Bombyx mori: one gene and its partner. The protein of the gene in region 1 purifies or fractionates together with the protein of each later gene. This does not show direct contact. Links are inferred from orthologs where the notes say so. Each region holds a gene or a part of one and is shown on either strand. Other genes may lie near its edges.

Region 1 (11,194 bases):
GGGATAGCCTACGGCTCTGTAAATTTGGCCCCCCTTTTTTTAATTTTCGGATTTTTTTAATTTTTAATTATTTGTTCGTCGTTTGATCGTTAATGTTCGAATGTAAAAATTGTTTGTTCGTCTTTTGCTTATTTATAATTAATTAAATAAATGATCACCGTTAAGTGGGCCCCTCTTACTAGATATCTTTATTTTTATCGATTAATTCATTTTAATTCATTTTGATCAATTATCGTTTGTTCGATGACTATTGGTGATTGTTCGATCATAAAAATAATTAAATTCCCAATTATTAATTATTTTATATTAATGTAATACCGAAATACTTCACGAGATGGCGTTACAAAAAATCCCTTCCCAAAACTATAAAACCGTTGTGATTGTCTACTGAATAAATAATATTTATTCGTATAATAAATAGTATAATAAATAATATTTATTCGTAGGTGATTGTTTAAGATGTTATGAATATTTCAGTTTTGATTTCATCAAAATAACTTGAACTTTACTACTGAATTCCGAAAAAAATTCTAATTAAGGCTGAGTTAAGTTCAGCTTTTTATTTAAGCCTCTTACTGTAGTTTTTAAATTACATTTATGCGGATTGACGTTTCAAAGCTTTCAGATTTCAATTTTAAAATCTGAAATAATTAAGAACAGCGTCATCCACCGTTCACATTTGAAACAGAATTTAATTCGGTTTAAATTTGTAAAAGTTGATGTTGATTATTATTACACTAATTAATTGAGCGTTTCATTAGCTTTTAAGCTGAGTGACTATTTATAATATATTTTTATTCTATTGTCTATTTTTGTTAAGTAATAAATGAGCAAAAAATAATACTTAACAAAAAGATATGAAATCCGAAAAAAAACAGTTTCACTGTAAAAAATTGCGCCAAGTCCACGTTTATAAAACTCATCTCAATAACATTTGCACTTTACAAAAAAAATAAGACTTCAATAACTTTCATTCTCTACAAAAAGATGTGAAATACAAAAAATACCAAGAAACCATCATAATGTTGAAAAAAAAAAAATTAAAAAAAAAAATTATCGTACTTGGCGCACGTCATTGAGTACCCCAAATTTTCAGGATAAATGAACATCCTTTCAATGTTTAGAAATTTGTAAGTCGGTCAACCTATGAAATGCATAAATGTAATGAATTATTATTTCATAATAAGTTTTACAGAAGCTAGGTAAAATCGACATCTCATACGTATGTTATTCGAATTTTTTTAATTTCCCGCTCATCATTTATGATTTGAACTAAACACCCTCTTATGTTCGCTTATACAAACTACTTACGAGTCGATACGTATGCATACGTTGGCTTCAAAAAATTTGAAAAATTCTCAAAAATGTTTTTCAATGGGTAGAAAAGAATAATAAAGTTTCAGCTGAATGAATCTAAAGGGGTCGAACGCAAAAGTGGTCGATTTGGCATATAGCCCATATACATATTTGTAATTATTAATACGAGTATTGTATGCGGGAAGTTCAATATGAATTTAGTGATATTCAAATTATATGCATTTCGAACATCTCCTAAAGGATATATGTACAAAAACCGACAATCGGCAGAATCTAACGAGAAGCTTGTTGTTCAAGGTAAGGTCGTCGATAAAATACCTCGTGGACGAAGCTCCATATGCTGGACTGATCAAGTGATAATCCTTACTAAAGCCTCACTTAACAAGTGCTTTTTTTTTCCTATCTAAGCTGATAGTCTTGAGAGACCACTTCAGCGTAACTTTAACAAGTAGGTGAGCTCACGGGGCTCAAACCGGTGTGATGCTAACACAAACCCTAGCAAGATCTACCACCGAATCTAGTTATTACCGAATTTGAAACGCTGAGAAGACTGAGAAGATCCGGCGAGAAACTAACTCAACGGGTTATTTTTTTTATTGCTTAGTTGGATGGACGATCTCTCACAGCCTACCTGGTGTTAAGTGGTTACTGGAGCTCATTGACATATATAACGTAAGAGCGCCACCCTCCTTGAGATATAAGTTCTAAGGTCTCAAGTATAGTTACAACGGCTGCCCCACCCTTCAAGCCGAAACGCATTACTGCTTCACGGCAGAAATAGGCAGGTTTTTAAGTCGTTTTCGTTGCAAACTCGCACTAAGCACACAGGACGGCGGTATCTATCCGTGCGAGCTCACAGAGCCCTCCACCGTTAGTAATTACGTAAATTATATTTTTTGCGAATTTCGTTTAAGTAACACGATATTCCTTCATAATCAAAGTCATTCGTGAGCATGTTCTAAGTAAACCTGGTGGTAGGACCTCTTGTGAGTCCGCGCGGGTGGGTACCACCACCCTGCCTATTTCTGCCGTGAAGCAGTAATGCGTTTCGGTTTGAAGGGTGGGGCAGCCGTTGTAACTATACTTGAGACCTTAGAACTTGTATCTCAAGGTGGGTGGCGCATTTACGTTGTGGATGTCTATGGGCTCCAGTAACCACTTAACACCAGGTGGGCTGTGAGCTCGTCCACCCATCTAAGCAATAAAAAAAAAAAAAAAAAAAATACAGGTTCGACCTATACGTCCAAAAAAAAATTTAGGTCTCTCGTGTCGTGGGGTATCCGAATCACCCCCATGTATGTTCCGCGATTTTTGATAGTTTTCGAGTTATGATATATGTTACCTTTATGCGGGATTTACATTACGAAATTAGTTTCATGCATGTTGAGCTCAGTTTCACGAAAGTAGTTTCGATATATGCGAAAGTAATTTCGTCAAAAAATTAGTGTCGCGAAATCCACAGTATCGCAGTAACCATGGCGCCAACAGCATCAAAGCTATATTCTGTGCTATATGCTATATTCAATGTAGCTAAAGAAATGCTTATATACCTATAAACTTAAAAAAAGACTATCAAGAAAAAAAGTTATTAGATTCGAGGATGATCAACAAGAAGGCATTCAGGTGCAATGAAGTTAGTCTCTGAATTAGCAGATGAAGATCCTGAGAGCTATAAAAACTATTATCGAATGAGTGAATATAATTTTGCTTTTTTACTGTAGGTGTTTCGGGTCCCAGAGACACCCTTGTCGCTGATATTCTATCGCTGATATTTTTATCTGTACTCCATCGTTGGTTTGCCATTTTCAACGCTTGAAGCGCGTCCGAACTAACAATACACACGTCCGCACAGCGCAGGCCCTTTCGCGACATTAGTTTCACGTCGCGTCTACACTATTAGTTGCATGATTTCACCAAAAAATCGCGTAGGGCACGAAACTAATTTCCATGCATGAAATTAATGCATGCATTACGAAAGTATTAAATTACACGTGAAACTGTTGGTAAAACTAATGTCACGAAATTAATTTCACGCCACTAATTTCGTAATGTAAATCGCCTTTATGATTTTTTACCTTTATTTTTATGATTTAGTACCAGCGGCTAGCTCCGGCCGCTAGCTCCGGCCGCTAGCTCCGGCCGCTAGCTCCGGCCGCTAGCTCCGGCCGCTAGCTCCGGCCGCTAGCTCCGGCCGCTAGCTCCGGCCGCTAGCTCCGGCCGCTAGCTCCAGCCGCTTGCACCAGCCACTTGCCCCAACCGCTAGCACCAGCCGCTAGCTCCAGCAACTAGCACCAGCCGCTAGCTCCAGCAACAAGCCCCAGCCGTTAGCGCCAGCATTTAGTACCAGCCGCTTGCACCAGCCGCTTGCGCCAGCCGCTAGCTCCAGCCGCTATCACATGTTGCTAGCACCAGCCACTTGCACCAGCCGCTAGCACCAGCAGCCATTACTGCTTCACGGCAGGGTAGCCAAAAAGTCCGACAGACACTTTGTGTCTGAGCGGGAACGCGAGGAGTGAAGTTGTGTATTTTATGATTGCCCTGTTTCCGGATTCTCTTTCTTTGATTAAATCGCTTTGAAGCTCCCTGCGTTTTTTTAGTATATCTTGGGGGAAATCTTCTTTTATGTAAACCGGTGATGATATCAGTTTTTTCTTATTTTTAAGTAATTTTATTTTTAACCCCATAGTGCTCAATGTTACTACAATGGGTCTCGTGTTTTCCCCTCTTTTTCCAACTCGCCTTACAAATTCAACACTGTTTTCATTGCATTCAATGCTTAAATATTTGTTTATAATTTCTAGCACAATTTGCAACAGATCCTGATATGACCTTTCACCTTCTTCGACTCCGAAAAAGAGCAGATTTCTCTTTCTCTTCAATCTCTCCATGTTATCTGTTTTTTCTGCCGAATTAGAATTAATTGTTGTTCAAGTAACTCGGTCTTTAATTCAAGACTGTGAAATTTTTCATTCATATTATTTATAATGGTATTTTTTATTTCCTCCTTCATATCTAACATATCCGCTTTTTGTTGTTTCATCTCTTCTTGCATGCTTCTTAATATATTTTTAATTTCTTCCATTACTTTTATACCTCAAAGTACTACTAATACAATCTTGTGGATAGTATTGGAACTACGTTGCTTATAGCAGATGTTATCTCCAGTTTATCGAGTTTTATCTTGAGAGTTCAGCTACTCACGCTAGGTGGCGCTAACGTTTTTGTACGAGGTGATTTGTGTGACGATGCGAATAATATTTATTTTAGGTTAAATGCAAAAAATAAATTAAATAGAATCCTTGTGTTCACTATTTAACAATTTAACGATTTTAATGATTATTTATGTCCCCTTCACTGCACTTAACGAGTTTTAGATCATTTACACTTAGAGTAATGGATATAAATGTCAGTTGCGCGTTCCTTGATATTTTTATAGATTTTGTATTGTTTACGCACTCTTTCAATAAGAAAACATTTGTTCCTGTGGTTCTTAGTATTGTTCCTTTATTTATCACTACTTTATCACACTTTAACCACTACTACTATTTATTACTTAGTTAAAAAGCAGACGTTGAAGTGAACGGTGGCACAGTCCGCGAACTACCCTCCAGTCGTTCATAATAAAATTTAAACAATAACATTTAGTACGCATCGTTTCTTCGTTTACTGCGCATCTCTCGTAATCGTGTTACTTTCGTACTACTAGTGGCTGGTGCAAGCGGCTGGTGCAAGCGGCTGGAGCTAGCGGCTGGTGCAAGCGGCTGGTGCAAGCGGCTGGTGCAAGCGGCTGGTGCAAGCGGCTGGTGCAAGCGGCTGGTGCAGGCGGCTGGAGCTAGCCGCTGGTACTAAATCATAAAAATAAAGGTAAAAAATCATAAAGGCGAATTTACATTACGAAATTAGTGGCATGAAATTAAATTGGCATTTGATAAATGAGAGTGAGAGCAACATGTTACATAATTACTATTGTAATAAACCAAATGTACTCGTTTAAACATCACTTACTTTTAACTTCCACAGGTATATGCCACACATGCGGGGCTGGTGTAACTGGTGCTGGGCAAGCTTGTCAAGCTATGGGCAATCTGTACCACACTAATCTTGGGACTATCCCATCTACAAACAGATTACTTTAAAATTAAAGACTAAAAACAACGACATTTAGGTTTTTATTGTTTATGTACGGACTGGACAATATTTAATTTTACTTAATGTTTTGTGTCGAAGACCTGAAACCGAAGACTTGAGATGATAGGAGAGGTGGAACCCGTAAAATTGTAGTTTGCGTAGTGGCGGATAAGATTTGTTGCGGTAAGAAGTTTGCATGGTGGTAAAATGTCTTGTGAGTCTGCACAGGTAGCCGGAGGTGAGACTTCCGCGGTCGCGGCCCACCCAGTCCGCGAGAACCGGGCAGATCGCCTCGACGGTACGGAGGCCGGCCGACGGGTCCGCCAAACGACGAGACCACGCCTCCAGCACGGACTGCCGAGATTGGAGCCCCCGCGCTCCGGCTGCACTTGCGCTAGGGCGCGCCGCCTCGTAGGAGACTGTGAGGTATCCTCGAATAACTCTGACTGCGATCGCGCGCTGCCGGCGTCGCAGCGCGGCGACGTTCTCGTGGGTACGGACGTGGCACTAGACGGGTGCTCTATGGAGTGCCATCGACCGCACGGGTACCATCACCCTGCCTATTTCTGCCGTGAAGCAGTGGTGTATTTCGGTTTGAAGGGTGGGGCAGCGGTTGTAACTATACTGAGACCTTAGAACTTCTATCTCAAGGTGTGTGGTGCGTTTGCGCTGTGGATGTCTAAGGGTTCCAGTAGCCACTTAACACAAGGTGGGCTGTGAGCTCGTCCACACATTAAATCGAAGAGCGTAATCAAACGAAATTAGATACGAAGTTTAAAAGGCCGTTTAAAGTAGTTGAAGTATTGGATGGTGACCGTTACACATTGAAAGCTTTAAATTCAAAACTTACTTACAAATACCCACATGATAGGCTAAGAAAATTGCCAGCATGACACATACCAGTCGAAGTTGATGTAAATGATGATGATGAAGAGCAAGCTTAAATTGTGGTGAAAACTCGAGTAAGGAGTTTCTTGGTATTTTTTTGTATTTCACATCTTTTTGTAGAGAATGAAAGTTATTGAAGTCTTATTTTTTTTGTAAAGTGCAAATGTTATTGAGATGAGTTTTATAAACGTGGACTTGGCGCAATTTTTTACAGTGAAACTGTTTTTGTTCGGATTTCATATCTTTTAGTTAAGTATTATTTTTTGCTCATTTATTACTTAACAAAAATAGACAATAGAATAAAAATATATTACTAGTATATAGTCACTCAGCTTAAAAGCTAATGAAACGCTCAATTAATTAGTGTAATAATAATCAACATCAACTTTTACAAATTTAAACCGAATTAAATTCTGTTTCAAATGTGAACGGTGGATGACGCTGTTCTTAATTATTTCAGATTTTAAAATTGAAATCTGAAAGCTTTGAAACGTCAATCTGCATAAATGTAATTCAAAAACTACAGTAAGAGGCTTAAATAAAAAGCTAAATTTAACTCAGCCTTAATTAAAATTTTTTTCGGAATTTAGTAGTAAAGTTCAAGTTATTTTGATGAAATCAAAACTGAAATATTCATAACATCTTAAACAATCACCTACGAATAAATATTATTTATTATATTATCTATTCAGTAGACAATCACAACGGTTTTATAGTTTTGGGAAGGGATTTTTTGTAACGCCATCTCGTGAAGTATTTCGGTATTACATTAATATAAAATAATTAATAATTGGGAATTTAATTATTTTTATGATCGAACAATCACCAATAGTCATCGAACAAACGATAATTGATCAAAATGAATTAAAATGAATTAATCGATAAAAATAAAGATATCTAGTAAGAGGGGCCCACTTAACGGTGATCATTTATTTAATTAATTATAAATAAACAAAAGACGAACAAACAATTTTTACATTCGAGCATTAACGAACAAACGACGAACAAATAATTAAAAATAAAAAAAATCCGAAAATAAAAAAAGGGGGCCAAATTTACAGAGCCATAACCTACTAACTTAAATATTAAGTGTATGATCTATACCTACGGCACACTGAATTTGGCCCCTCTTTTTTTGATTTTCAAATTTTTTTATTTTTAATTATTTGTCCGTTGTTTGTTCGTTAATGTTCATATGTAAAAAATCTTTGTTCGTCTTTTATTTATTTATAATTAATTAAACAAATGATCACATTAAGTTGGCTCCTTTTACTAGATATCTTTATTTTTATCACTCAGATTAATTAATTTTGATCAATTATCGTTTGTTTGACGACTATTGGTGATTGTTCGATCATAAAAACAATTGAATTCTCAATTATTAATTATTTTATATCTAATAAGCAAACCATCACCTCACGCCAACAAATATAAAAAAATCCAAAATAAAAAAGGGGGCTAAATTCACTGAGCCATTAAGCACATAATATTTGCATGTGTTTAATCTATGATATTTGCTACCATAGATAATAGAGCCTAGGAAAGGCGACGACGACGCATTTGCTTTAATATTTTCCAATTGAAAATACAGAAAGGCCATTAATAGCCTACAGTATATTTTTTAAATACAACACTCGCTTTAGCGAAGATGTATGATACAGAAGATGATCAATACGAAGAGGAAGATGTGGAAATAACACCTGAGCTTTGGCAAGAAGCTTGTTGGATTGTCATCAACGCTTATTTCGATGAAAAAGGTCTAGTGAGACAGCAATTAGATAGCTTCGATGAATTTATTCAAATGTCGGTACAACGTATAGTTGAAGATTCTCCACCCATAGAATTACAAGCAGAAGCACAACATTTCTCTGGTGAGATGGAAACACCACCAAAATATCGTCTTAAATTTGACCAAATTTATTTATCTAAACCTACTCATTGGGAGAAAGATGGAGCTCCATCTCCCATGATGCCCAATGAAGCACGTCTTCGTAATTTAACATATTCGGCACCTTTATATGTTGATATTACAAAAACAATAGAGAAAGAACATGAGGATCCTATTGAAACGCAACATCAGAAAACATTTATTGGCAAGATTCCTATTATGCTTAGATCTACATATTGCTTACTAAACAGTTTGACTGACCGTGACTTGTCAGAATTGAATGAATGCCCCTTAGATCCTGGTGGTTACTTCATTATTAATGGATCAGAAAAAGTACTAATTGCACAGGAAAAAATGGCTACCAATACTGTCTATGTATTCAGCATGAAGGATGGCAAATATGCTTACAAAACAGAAATAAGATCATGTCTGGAACATAGTTCTAGACCGACATCTACATTATGGGTTAATATGATGGCTCGAGGAGGACAAAATATAAAGAAATCTGCTATTGGTCAAAGAATTATGGCAATTGTCCCATATATCAAACAAGACATACCTATAATGATTGTATTCAGAGCTTTAGGTTTTGTTGCTGATAGAGATATATTGGAACACATTATATATGATTTTGATGATCCAGAAATGATGGAAATGGTTAAGCCATCTCTTGATGAGGCTTTTGTCATTCAAGAACAAAATGTAGCACTCAATTTTATTGGAAGCCGAGGAGCACGCCCAGGTGTCACCAAAGAAAGACGTATTAAATATGCTAGAGAAATCTTACAAAAGGAAATGTTGCCACATGTTGGAGTATCAGATTTTTGTGAAACAAAAAAAGCTTATTTTCTAGGCTACATGGTACACAGATTATTATTAGCTGCTTTGGGTCGAAGAGAACTGGATGATAGAGATCATTATGGCAACAAAAGATTAGATTTAGCAGGACCACTTTTGGCTTTTCTATTTAGAGGCTTATTCAAAAATTTACTAAAAGAAGTCCGAATGTATGCTCAAAAATTTATTGATAGAGGAAAAGATTTCAACTTGGAACTTGCTATCAAAACAAAAATCATCACTGATGGTCTTCGTTATTCTTTGGCAACTGGTAATTGGGGTGACCAAAAGAAAGCTCATCAGGCCCGAGCTGGAGTATCTCAAGTGTTGAACAGATTAACTTTTGCATCTACTTTATCCCATTTAAGACGTGTCAATTCTCCAATTGGACGTGATGGTAAACTTGCTAAACCACGTCAATTGCACAATACTTTATGGGGTATGATTTGTCCTGCTGAAACTCCAGAGGGAGCTGCTGTTGGCTTAGTGAAGAATTTAGCATTAATGGCTTATATCTCAGTAGGAAGTCAACCTTCACCAATTTTGGAGTTCTTGGAAGAATGGTCAATGGAAAACTTGGAAGAAATTGCACCATCAGCTATAGCTGATGCCACAAAGATATTTGTGAATGGTTGTTGGGTAGGAATACACAGGGACCCTGAACAGTTGATGGCTACACTACGTAAACTAAGACGTCATATGGACATCATTGTCTCTGAAGTCAGTATGATTAGAGATATAAGAGACAGAGAAATCAGAATCTATACAGATGCAGGTAGAATTTGTAGGCCATTACTTATTGTCAATAATGGTGTCTTATTGTTGAAAAAGAAGCACATAGATGATTTAAAAGAAAAGGACTACAATAACTATGGTTGGCAAAATTTGGTGGCTAGTGGAGTAGTTGAATATATTGATACTTTGGAAGAAGAAACTGTGATGATTGCCATGAGTTTAGATGACTTGAATCAAGTTAAAGAATATGCATATTGTACTACTTATACACATTGTGAGATTCATCCTGCAATGATTCTGGGTGTCTGTGCGTCTATTATTCCATTCCCAGATCATAATCAAAGTCCCAGAAATACTTATCAAAGTGCTATGGGTAAACAAGCTATGGGAGTTTATATCACAAATTTCCATGTTAGAATGGATACACTGGCTCATGTTTTGTATTATCCTCACAAACCCCTGGTTACGACAAGATCTATGGAATACTTACGATTTAGAGAATTGCCAGCAGGAATTAACTCCATTGTTGCTATTCTTTGTTATACCGGATATAACCAAGAAGATAGTGTTATTTTGAATGCATCTGCTGTAGAGAGAGGATTCTTTAGATCCGTATTTTACCGTTCATACAAAGATTCTGAATCTAAAAGAAATGGAGAACAAGAAGAACAGTTTGAAAAACCAACCAGACAGACATGTCAGGGTATGAGGAATGCTCTGTATGACAAATTAGATGATGATGGTATTATTGCTCCTGGTATTAGAGTATCAGGTGATGATGTTGTCATAGGAAAAACTATAACTTTGCCAGAAAATGATGATGAGTTGGAAGGTACAACAAAACGATTTACAAAGCGAGATGCATCCACTTTCTTACGTAATAGTGAAACTGGAATTGTTGACCAAGTAATGTTAACATTAAATAGCGAAGGTTATAAATTTTGTAAAATTCGAGTCAGATCTGTACGCATCCCGCAAATTGGAGATAAGTTTGCTTCACGACATGGTCAAAAAGGAACATGTGGAATTCAATACAGGCAAGAAGATATGCCATTTACTTGCGAAGGTATAACACCAGATATCATTATTAATCCTCACGCTATCCCTTCACGTATGACAATTGGTCACTTGATTGAGTGTATTCAAGGGAAAGTATCTTCTAATAAGGGAGAGATCGGTGATGCAACCCCATTCAATGATGCTGTAAATGTGCAAAAAATATCATCTCTGTTACAAGATTATGGTTACCATCTACGTGGTAATGAAGTCATGTACAATGGGCATACAGGCCGTAAAATTAATGCGCAAGTTTTTTTGGGACCAACTTACTACCAACGTTTAAAGCACATGGTCGATGATAAAATTCATTCTAGAGCTAGAGGTCCAGTACAAATTCTAGTG
Region 2 (11,194 bases), on another chromosome or scaffold:
GGTTTAAAGGAACCATTATTAAAGCGAAAACGGCAATTTGTTGCTAATTTGTATCACACTGTGTCTGCAGTCTATTAGTAGCAACACCATCCTACCCATTTTTTCAGCAAAGTAGTTCAGAATTCGGATTTGACTACTAGTTTAACAGATTTTTTATAATTTATTTAAGATTTTGTCTTGAACCATTTATCATACTTGTTTGCCAACCATTTTATTACTTTGTTATTAGTTTATTTATTTATTAGGCACACGATACACATTACAAGCTAAAAAGAAAATATACACAATAAATAACAAGTAAAGAAAAGGGCTTGTTGGTTTTCCCCTGGTGGTAGGACCTCTTGTGAGTCCGCGCGGGTAGGACCACCGCCCTGCTTGTTTCTGCCGTGAAGCAGTAATGCGTTTCGGTTTGAAGGTTGGGGCAGCCGTTCTAACTATACTTGAGACCTTAGAACTTATATCTCAAGGTGGGTGGCGCATTTTACGTTGTAGATGTCTATGGGCTCCAGTAACCACTTAACACCAGGTGGGCTGTGAGCGCGTCCACCCATCTAAGCAATAAAAAAATAAAAATTGTAACAAAAGGCATGCGCGCACAACTAATCAGGACAAATGTGCTAAGTAAACAATGTTCATTACAAACTATAGGACAAGACAGCATGATAACGAAAACCAATCAATTTTTGTAAAGTAACTATTGATTTCATCTTTCATCTCATTAAAAGAGTCATCAAAATAATCTAAATATTGAGAGATTTGAAAATCAAATTTATGAAATTTTGACTAGGTAGTATTTTTAAATACCCGTTTCTAAGTATGTTAAATTTCGCCTCTGGCACATTGCAAATTCATTTATAAAACCACCCAGTATATCATGGTTGCAAATACAAAATTTGCTATCTGCAATTTTTCATGATTGAATCGAGTAGTTCACCAACAAGGTTAGGTCATAAAATAACTACAAAGTATATGCACTACACATAGAACTTAAACAACTTTACAGCATTAATATAATATGTAAAATTGTTACAGTTAATTGATACTTACAGCAGTGTGTTTAGCAAATTTGACACATATCCTTTTGCAGCCTAGTAACTGTCCATTCAATGAGTTCATTGCCTTAACAGCATCTTGTTTCAATTTGTATGTAACAAACGCAAACCCTCTCGGCTGTCCGGCTGCAGGTCCGCTACGATGGAACAGCATGTCGAACTTCTCAATATTCCCATAGACGCGGACCAGTTTCAGTAATTGATACCGGTAATGAACAAAAATTGATGTTTTATTATATTGCCTTTTATTGGTACGATAAAGAAATGGAAAAGAATGAGTATATCAGAGGAAGTGTGAAAGTAGCCCCGGTAAGCAAGAAGTTAAGGAGCGGACGGTTAGCGTGGTATGGATATGTGATGCGTAGAGAGAACGATGTAGTCGTCGTGGCCTAAAGGATAAAACGTCCGGTGCATTCGTGTTGAAACGTTGCACCGGTGTTCGAATCCCGCAGGCGGGTACCAATTTTTCTAATGAAATACGTACTCAACAAAATGTTCACGATTGACTTCCACGGTGAAGGAATAACATCGTGTAATAAAAATGAAACCCGCAAAATTATCATTTGCGTAATTACTGGTGGTAGGACCTCTTCTGAGTCCGCGCGGGTGGGTACCACCACCCTGCCTATTTCTGCCGTGAAGCAGTAATGCGTTTCGGTTTGAAGGGTGGGACAGCCGTTGTAACTATACTTGAGACCTTAGAACTTGTATCTCAAGGTGGGTGGCGCATTTACGTTGTGGATGTCTATGGGCTCCAGTAACCACTTAACACCAGGTGGGCTGTGAGCTCATCCACCCATATAAGCAATAAAAAAAAAAAAAGTGAAGATGCATGTGACTAGAAGATGTATGGAAATGGTAGTGCAAGGTAGAGGGAGGGAGAAGATGTCGACCGAAGAAGACATGGATATGTGTGATTGACGATATGAAAGAGAGAGGAGTGAGTGTTGAGATGACGGCTGATAGAAGAGAATGGAAGAGAAAAATTAGCTGTGCCGTCCTCACCTAGTGGGATAAGGTGGAGGAAAATGAGAAGATAAAACAATGTAACTCTTTTATAATTTTATGTTATGAAATTATATAGAGACATTTATTCTCTTTTTTATAGCTATCTTTGAAAATTACTTTAATATTTTAAACATACTCATTGACTCTCAGGTCTAGATTCCCGATCCATAATCTTCTGTCACAGACTTCATTCTGGTGGACTGGGTCCAAATGTAATGGAACCTGAAAATAAAATACATAGGGTATTGTACAGCATATTTAAATTTGGTTAAACATTATTGTAATGTTTTAAAGAGGGTTTTAAGTCACCATGATAAATAATCTTTTTTTATGAATTCGTTAATACAGTAGCATCAGAGTTGTATTTACTTTTTATTTTATTTTAATGGGTAAACACACTCACTTCACACTTTGTCTCTGCTACTGTGTTGGGAGCATTAACATTGCCTTCTGAGACATTCATTCTCATTCAGGTCTCTGTGCCTTATTTAGCAAGACAGTGGTTTAGCTGGCTTTGCTGACATCTATGAGTAACTTTGACCATTCAACATCAGGTCTCCAGTATGTTTACAGATAAAACAACAAAGTTGGCAAAGCAGCTAGTGACCATGTATTCAATGAAATGACTATAAAGGATTTTAATACAATTTTTTCTCAGTTCATAAATGTTCAAGAATGATTTCCACAATGAATGATTAACAAGTTTTCTGATACTGAACTGATAGCTCATAAGTAAAGAGATAAATGAGCTCACAGCCAACCTGGTATTAAGTGGTGACCAGAGCTCATAGATACAACATGACACCCTTCAAACTGAAAAGCATTACTTCTTGACAAAAAAAATCTTTAAACTGCTACACTACTAATTCAAGTATATTTTTTAAATATATAGCCAATTTCACATATTGGCCATTGAAAAAATTGTCTGCTATGATTCTTTGTTGTCAAAGTGAAACATTCAGTATTTAACCAGATACAGCTTATGGATTCGACTGTCCCTTTCAAAATGCGAAACATGAAAATGTTAGACATTCTACCCATCAAACTGGATTTCCCGACTAAATTGAAAGAGTCACCATAGTACAACCAACCAGTGTATGCTCCCAGCATCCTGTACCTCAAAAAAGGATAAAGTAAGAAAACGTGTGCTATTTATGTTCATTTGGTCATTGTTTTCATTTCAATGATAAAATCATCTATATAGTTTGTGGTACAATTAATTTGAGTCAAATTATTATCATTTAAATGATCTTTATGATACTTTTAGTTTGTAATACTTGGGTACTTGTTAGATGAAAATCAGGTGATAAATGAAAATTTATGCAAAGTATGATTATTTATTTAGAATACCGTTCCTTCCATGTCTCTTGAGTGTTGAATCTGTTCCTTTAAATTACTTTACTCTTAGATCTCTTGGTGTTCTAGAATTCTTGGATCACATAACTTATACACTAATTATTCCTACATAATATTTTAACTAAGCATTGGACTTGCGCATTGTTTATAATTTGTATAATTTCACTCGTGTACATAATATTTTTCTAGATAATTATGATCTAAAATATGTGTTTACTCTATGATCTAAATTCTATGACATATTTAACCACAGATCAGTAAAACGTTTTTTTATTAAAGGGATTTTATGACCTGGTAACTAAGACCTTTAGATCATATCTTATTTTAATTTATATTCATATTTTTATGAAAAATGGTATTATGGAGTGAAATGAAATGAAATGAAGATGATTAATTTGAGACATTAATCAACTGGGATAAAATTAAATGAGATGATATGAGATGAGATATAATCTATGATATATAATATTGGTGGTCATTTACCTTCATTTACTGAGATTTTTTCAGTGGACTTTTTGGAGGATCCCGAGAAGTTACGTCCAGCGGCTTTGTTTCATTTTCCCACATCTGTGCACTTTCACAGATATTAAACAGTTAATAAATCACCGTTATCTTATACCTTCAAACGAGCAATTCTTGTATATATATATATATATATGTATAATCTGAAACTCGGAAACGGCTCCAACGATTTTCATAAAATTTAGTATACAGGGGATTTCGGGGGCGATAAATCGATCTAGCTACGATTTATTTTCAGAAAATTTTGTTTTATTCGTGTTTACAATAATCAACTTTCCCGACATCTATTGGCGAATAATAATACTATTTAAAGACACAACAAGATGGCGTCATCAAAAAAAAAACGAGCAAAGCTCGGTCATCATCTAGTTACACATTTAAACGTGAAGAAATACCAAATAGACAAAATTATACAACTTCACCCCTCGCGTTCCTGCCAAAAAGTCCTCAGTAAAACGTCTTAAATAGCAAGCATAGATAAGACATCAATAAGAAGCAACAACAACTTAGCAAGGCACAGACTACTCACTTTTTATTGTAAGGTAAGCCTGCCGTTTAAATGCCCCCCGAAGCATACACACGAGTGTACGCCCGCGACTCTTTCGCTACTCGCCGTCATTCCTTTTCGAACTTGTTTGTGGGACCCTTTGGAGTATTCATTACCTGATGCTCCAACTGCTGGGCAACACAAAAAAATGTAGTATCTATGCCACTTCACTTATTTTTCATTATGGAAATTGGATTTTTGCGACACTCTTTGAAACCCAAGGTTTTGGATGTGGCAGCCCTAAACCTCACACAAAATGTTTGGCAGAATTGATTTTACTTAATTGATTTAAAGTAAAGATATTTTAAATGCGGAAGGTCATTTTGGAGATCAAACTCAATAGATGCAAATTTCAAAGCAGCAAAGAAGTATTCCGTGTATAAGCTCTATTTCCTTTCATTATCATAGAGGACGATGTCAAGGCACAACCTAATGAGCTTCTCGCCGGATCTTATCAGTGGGTCGCGATCCCGAGATCCGGTAGTAGATTCTGTGAAGCACTGTTTTTGCTAGGGTCATTGATAGCAAACTCTCTTAGTTTAATACCCGTAAGCTCACCTACCCGCCATAGCGTAATTGGAATAGCTCCATAGCGAATAGGTAGGGCCCGCAGAGTCTATCGAGAAACTTGTTGTTCAGGGTAGAGTAAATGGTAAGAGATCTCGTGGACAAATCTCCATGCGCTGGACTGATCAGGTGAAAGACTTTACTAAAACCCCACTTAACGAGTGCGCACGCACTCGTTAAGTGGGGTTTGCAAATTATGGAAAACATCTGTCAAGGCTTTAATAAACAACAATTTCACATGACCACGACTGCTTTGCCAAGAGCAACCGACTATAATGATGATGAGGGGGAAAAGGATTTAATTTAAGTTCATGGCTTTTCGAATTCTTACACAAATCTCACGAAATATACTTTCTCTCCATTTTACCAACGTTATATCTATTTAATTTTGTTGCATTCTACTATACTTCATTTCACTTCACTTCTTGTTTAAATCACAATATGAGTTCGAATTCACAATTTAAGGTTGAATAGGCTATGTTTCCTTTGTCCTAGTTGACAAAATAACAAAAAAGGGCAAAAGTGACAAACAAACAGCTAGTGTTTTCTATTTCCACAAAAAGTTAACCAAATCCAGTATTTTTAGTATTTTTACCTATATAAATCTTTTAGATTCCATGTGAATGTAGTAGTAGTTGTTGCAAATGTAAGTACAAAAAAAGAATTAGTCAATGTTACAGTAATAACAGGAATTAAGATCGTTAAAAAATGTGAATGCGTTAAAACTAATTGAAAATATATAAATAATGAACAAGATAAATAAAAGGATACCTGGTATCTTGCCGCCGCCGCCAAAAACAGAAATCGATGGAAAAATCACCGATCTATCGTTAAAAACTATTCCTGAGTTGCTTGAACTACGAGATAGACAAATTAAGTTATTAAACAATAAAAGTTTTATATCTAAACTAAGTGACAAAGGTGCTAAAATACAGATTTTGTACGATAAAATCTTATCCGAATTAAAAGCGAAGCAAGAGGAAGAAGATGCGTGTCGGATGTTCGAAAATATGAAACTGAATGGAATTGACAAACAATCCGTACAAGAATTAGAATGGACAGGTACAATTAAACAATCCACAGATTTAGATTCAGATGACGACAGTGACCCTGAAGATGTCCTAAAAATCTTGACTCAGAACTCATTCCATGAGAAAAAAATTAAGATTTTAGAACCTGAAAAACTTTCGATAACCCCTGAAGATCTAATCAAGATAGATGAGATCCCCCACGTAAGATATATAGTTAACAAAACGGAACACAACACCAAAGCCAAAGTAACGAGACAGTTTAAGCCACATAAGACCACAAACACAGATGTCCACAACCCAGAAAAGGAAATACAAAGAGGAAAGAACAAATGTAAAAAATGGGAGGTGACTGCTGCCACACCTCCTCCTACAATACATGGGCCAGCAAAAATATTATCCATAGAAGACTCATTAAAACTCCAGCAAGAACATAACTTACGTCTTAAAGAGGTGAATGCATTACATGCAGCTGAGAGGCTGGCTTCAATGGCTGGAGTCAAAATGAGTCAGTTGCCATTGGATTTATCAAGGTTTGGTTCATACCGAGACACCAATAGTGATGATTATGAGTCTGATGGTGAGGGCAGTGACAAAGAAGTTCATGATGAGGAGCCTGAGAAAGGAGGTGTCATATTTACCATAATGAAATAATATACATACTAAGTTCTAGAACCAAGTTCTCTCATGAGAGCTTAGTTAGACTTACGACTTTCATGGCTCATGCCAGTCCTCATTTTTAAGGGATCAAAATAGCAGGAAAACGACTGGATTGTAATTTAACTGTGTACTTACTGATTTAATGTATAATAATAACAATAATAATAAATTTCTGTCTATTTATGTATACTTCATTATTATCCCTTACAATTCATTACTCTGAATCCGATATAAGCTTAAAGCGTAAAGTATGTAATTATTTGATTAAATAAAATTTCGCAACCTCAAAAAACCGTTCTGCTTACAGTAAACACAGTCGGTAGTCTGGCGCTCCGTTTACAACGGGATTTTTGAACGGAACTTGGCGCCAGATTCTACCTAACCTGTGGATAAAGCTTATCAGATTGATGTAAATGCAAGTCGCTCCCTAACATATACACTTATGGTATTTTAGATATACACTTCACCAGAGCTTGATAGACCCAATATGAGGGGAAAATGTGTATAAAGACAACAATCACGATATATATAAAATACACTTTAAGAGTTGTATTGTTAAATTTCAAAAAGGAGCCCTTAAATTACATTTAATTGAACATGTAAAAGGGTAGATGATAAGTACAGTAAGTTACTTATTTATTAATTTAATTAACTACATGCTCATTTCTGTCTATAAATTATGGTAATAAATTAATTCCTTCATTCGTTCCCTTCACACACGATTTAGGGCACAGCTGAGAGTGAAGATATCTCCCAGTGTTGACTTCTATTATGTAGGTAATATGCATTTTAATTAATACTTAGTCGTGCGACTAGCGGTTGCTCGGTTATTTTTATAAAATTCAACTACGCTTTATATAAAACGTAGAGTTCATGTTCGTTCATAGCGAGATACAGTATACTATACTGTATACCTAACTTTATATTGATACATACTTTACATACATATTTCGTGTGGGTCGCCATTACAAAATATAATCATAACTATGCATAACTCTATATAATATAATTATTAAACAAGTACGCTACCATTCGATCAATTGCCACCCACTTACTTGCCAGTACGACACTTGCCTGCCGCAGTGTATTATCTACGACTTGCTGTACGAGTGTACAAGGGTTCTACAAGTTGCGCGTAATTGACAGCCACAGATTAGCACTAAACACAAATATACAACGGCGGCTGAGCTCGCGGCAAACGCACGTTGCGCGTGTTATGTTAATTGGAAACATCACAAAATAAAAATAAACAGTTAGTGAATATGGCTCCTATGTCGAACGCGGTCGTAGGAATTGATGACGATCAACGGTTTGCTCTAATGAAGGTACGACTACACTTAATTCTAAATTAATTATTTCATTCTTATTTTATGTTTGTCGATTTTGAATTACTTAGGCAAAAATTTCTTACGAAGCACCAACTAGTGAACGTTCCGAAAAAAAAAGAGGTATTGTCATGATTTTTTTTTTTTTTTTTTTTTTTTTTTTCTCCCATTTCTTGGCCTGCACGGTTTGTGCGTCAGCCACGCAAAAAGGTTAGGAAGTGTGTTAATGGATTTATTTTTTGGATTTGAATTTGGAACGGAATTTGGAAAAAGGATCAGGTATATATATTATATAAACTAAGTACATAAATGGTTACAATTTTATATTATTATGAAAAATGAAACTAGCTAATATTCTATATACATCAATATTGATATTAGATAAAAGGATAGAAATTGAAGTAGGAAAAGGAATTTTAATGGACAAAAGTGAGGAAATAAAAGCGGAACGGTCATTTCGAGGACAGGCAAAGAATATATGATTAAAATCCCCAACGTCATTGCCACACTCACATATATCGCTAGGCAAAAGGTTAAGCCTTGCCAAATGCAAGGGAATGCATGCATGGCCCAGCCTCATGCGAATAAGGGTCGATGTGATAGCTTTACCAAACGTCAGATTTGAAAACCACGGTTTAGGAGGTATATCCACTTGGATCGTGCTGTAATATCGACCTTTAGTCTGTCTTGAAGAACGCCAAATGTGAGTCCAAGAATTCAATAACTGGAATTTAGGAAGCAGAGCTAAATCACAACAAAAGTTTTTGTACGGAACCAAATCTCCATCATTGACCGCAGCTTTGGCAAGGCTATCGGCCTTGGCATTGCCAAAGATACCCGAGTGCCCCGGAATCCAAGCAAAGGAAACTGTGTAATTTTTGATGCAACATTGATACAATAAATCACGACATGCAATAATCACAGGATGATTATTTCGGTTACTGTTAAAAGGAAAACGTTCCAAGGCTTGGAGGGCACTTTTAGCGTCAGTTAAAATTATTGACTTTTTAAGCTTCATCATTAAAATGTACTCCAGAGACTTCAGAAGACCAAAACATTCTCCAGTAAATACTGAAGTCTCTGGAGGCAATTTTATTTTCTGAACAATGCCAAACTGTTGATGGAAAATGCCGACCCCCACACACTCCTCGGGACCGGGTTTGGAGGAATCGCTAAAAATTAAATGACAATTTTTCCATCGGCTGTCACTGTCAATAATATCAACAAATTTGGCATTGATAGAAAGATCTTGTTTACTTAGGCCGAAATCAAACATAATAGATGGATTTAAAGTTAGGGCATCATAGTTAACACAAAATATTGGAAGGAATTGTGATCTATGTGTAGGAGCTTGAAGAGCTAAGTACTTTTGGAGACTAACAATAAGGCATGGCGGCGATTTATGAGCCCAGTACGGATAATCCATACATTCCAGCAGAGACCGTAACTTAGTGTAAAGAGGATGATTATAAACTTGGAATGCTCTAAATAGAAACCGGTCACAAAGAAATTGTCGTCTGAGGTGCAGGGGGGCTTCAGAACATTCGACCTGCAAAGCGTTAATAGGGCTCGAACGCATAGCCCCAGCAATTATTCTCAGAGCCTTAGACTGGATAATGTCTAACTTATGGAGAGCTACTGCATTACAGGGTTCAAGTATAAATGTTCCATAGTCCAAAATACTCCTTATTAGGGCATTATACAAAAGCTTTAGAGAGAAAGGGTGGGCTCCCCACCAAACTCCAGAGAGGCAACGCAATATATTTAGAATCTTCTCACATTTATCACTTATATAGTAGCAATGAGGGCTTCCTGTAAGTCTTGAGTCTAAAATTACCCCAAGAAATGTTGCTTCACTTTTAACAGGAACTCTAATGTTATTATAAAATACAGACACTGATGGAGGAAGCCTCATACGTGAAAATAAGACTATAATACTTTTAGGAACTGAAAGGCTTAGAGAGTTATTGTCAAGCCAAACTTTTAGCAACTTAAGAGAATATGTGACAGTATCAGACATGTTGTCAATAGAATCACCAGAGACATAGAGGAGTAAATCATCTGCATATTGGAGTGTGTTAACTTTACCCCTAAGGGAGGCTTCCAGATCATGAGAATATATATTGTAAAGTAAGGGACTTAAAACGGAGCCCTGGGGTAAACCTTTCCAGACAATACGGGATTGATAAGAGTCTTCTGATATTACTTTAAGCATTCTACCAGAGAGAAGATTGATTATGAAACTTATGAAAATTTGTGGGATATTCAAATTAATCATTTTTTGTTTCAGAACCGAAAGGTTGACATTATCATAGGCTGCAGACACATCTAAGAATGCTGCTAACACAGACTTATTGTATGAAAATGCCAATCTTATGTCTGTCATAAAAATGCTGAGACTATCCATCGTACTCCTACCTTTCCTAAATCCAAACTGGTTAGGAGATAGTAACCCTTTACTCTCAATAAACCATTCTAGTCTATTTTTAACTAGATGTTCGCAAATTTTGGAAATCACTGAAGCTAATGCAATTGGTCTGTATGATGATGGATCATTAATGGGTTTGTTGGGCTTATGTATTGGGATAACTTCATGGATTTTCCATGATGGAGGAATATTACCTGATGTTAAGATTGAATTAATTAAACTGAGAAAATAAGAAAGGCAGGAGTCGTTCAGGTTTTGAAGAAAAGAATATGGAATTCCATCACAACCCGGGGCTGAGTCCCTAAGCCTTGAAAGAACCCCTTTGAGTTCTGAAAGGCTAAAGGAAATGAATGAATCGCTACTATCATGCTGGGAGAGGAGAGAAGGCTGTGAGTCAGAAGAAATATTATCTATAGACGGGACAAATGGTGGAGCTAATTTGTCAAGAAACAAATCAACTGTACTACTATCCATGAAAGGAGACCTTGGAGGTTTGAAAGCGGATCTGAATCTACGAATATTTTGCCAAACTTGAGATGGAGAAATTTCTGGTGAAATTGAGGCACAAAAAGATTTCCAGCTATTGAATCTTTTTTGTTTTAATAATTTACGAGTTTTAGTTATAAGATTACTAAGAATATTAAAATTTTGTGTTGTAGAATTTTCTCTGTAATTTTCTTCAGCTATCTTTCTCTCAGCTA

Evidence for each region. Proteins that work in one complex are often made in the same cells at the same time.
Region 2: the proteins of DNA-directed RNA polymerase II subunit RPB2 (region 1) and uncharacterized protein LOC101743276 purify together in Homo sapiens (affinity purification with mass spectrometry; 3 studies listed by BioGRID and IntAct, counting the BioPlex papers as one, with this or other methods). This does not show direct contact. The link is inferred for Bombyx mori from reciprocal best matches to the Homo sapiens genes POLR2B and POLR2M.

The regions. Positions count from the first base shown.
Region 1 is NC_085110.1:13,223,442-13,234,635, forward strand, and holds the start of DNA-directed RNA polymerase II subunit RPB2, read left to right. Parts: upstream 1-7,841; 5' UTR 7,842-7,981; coding exon 7,982-11,194. UniProt on the Homo sapiens protein: Catalytic core component of RNA polymerase II (Pol II), a DNA-dependent RNA polymerase which synthesizes mRNA precursors and many functional non-coding RNAs using the four ribonucleoside triphosphates as substrates.
Region 2 is NC_085116.1:3,260,099-3,271,292, reverse strand, and holds uncharacterized protein LOC101743276, read left to right. Parts: upstream 1-4,472; 5' UTR 4,473-5,798; coding exon 5,799-6,734; 3' UTR 6,735-6,923; downstream 6,924-11,194. Other genes in the region: SEC14-like protein 2, read left to right, coding at 8,003-8,065.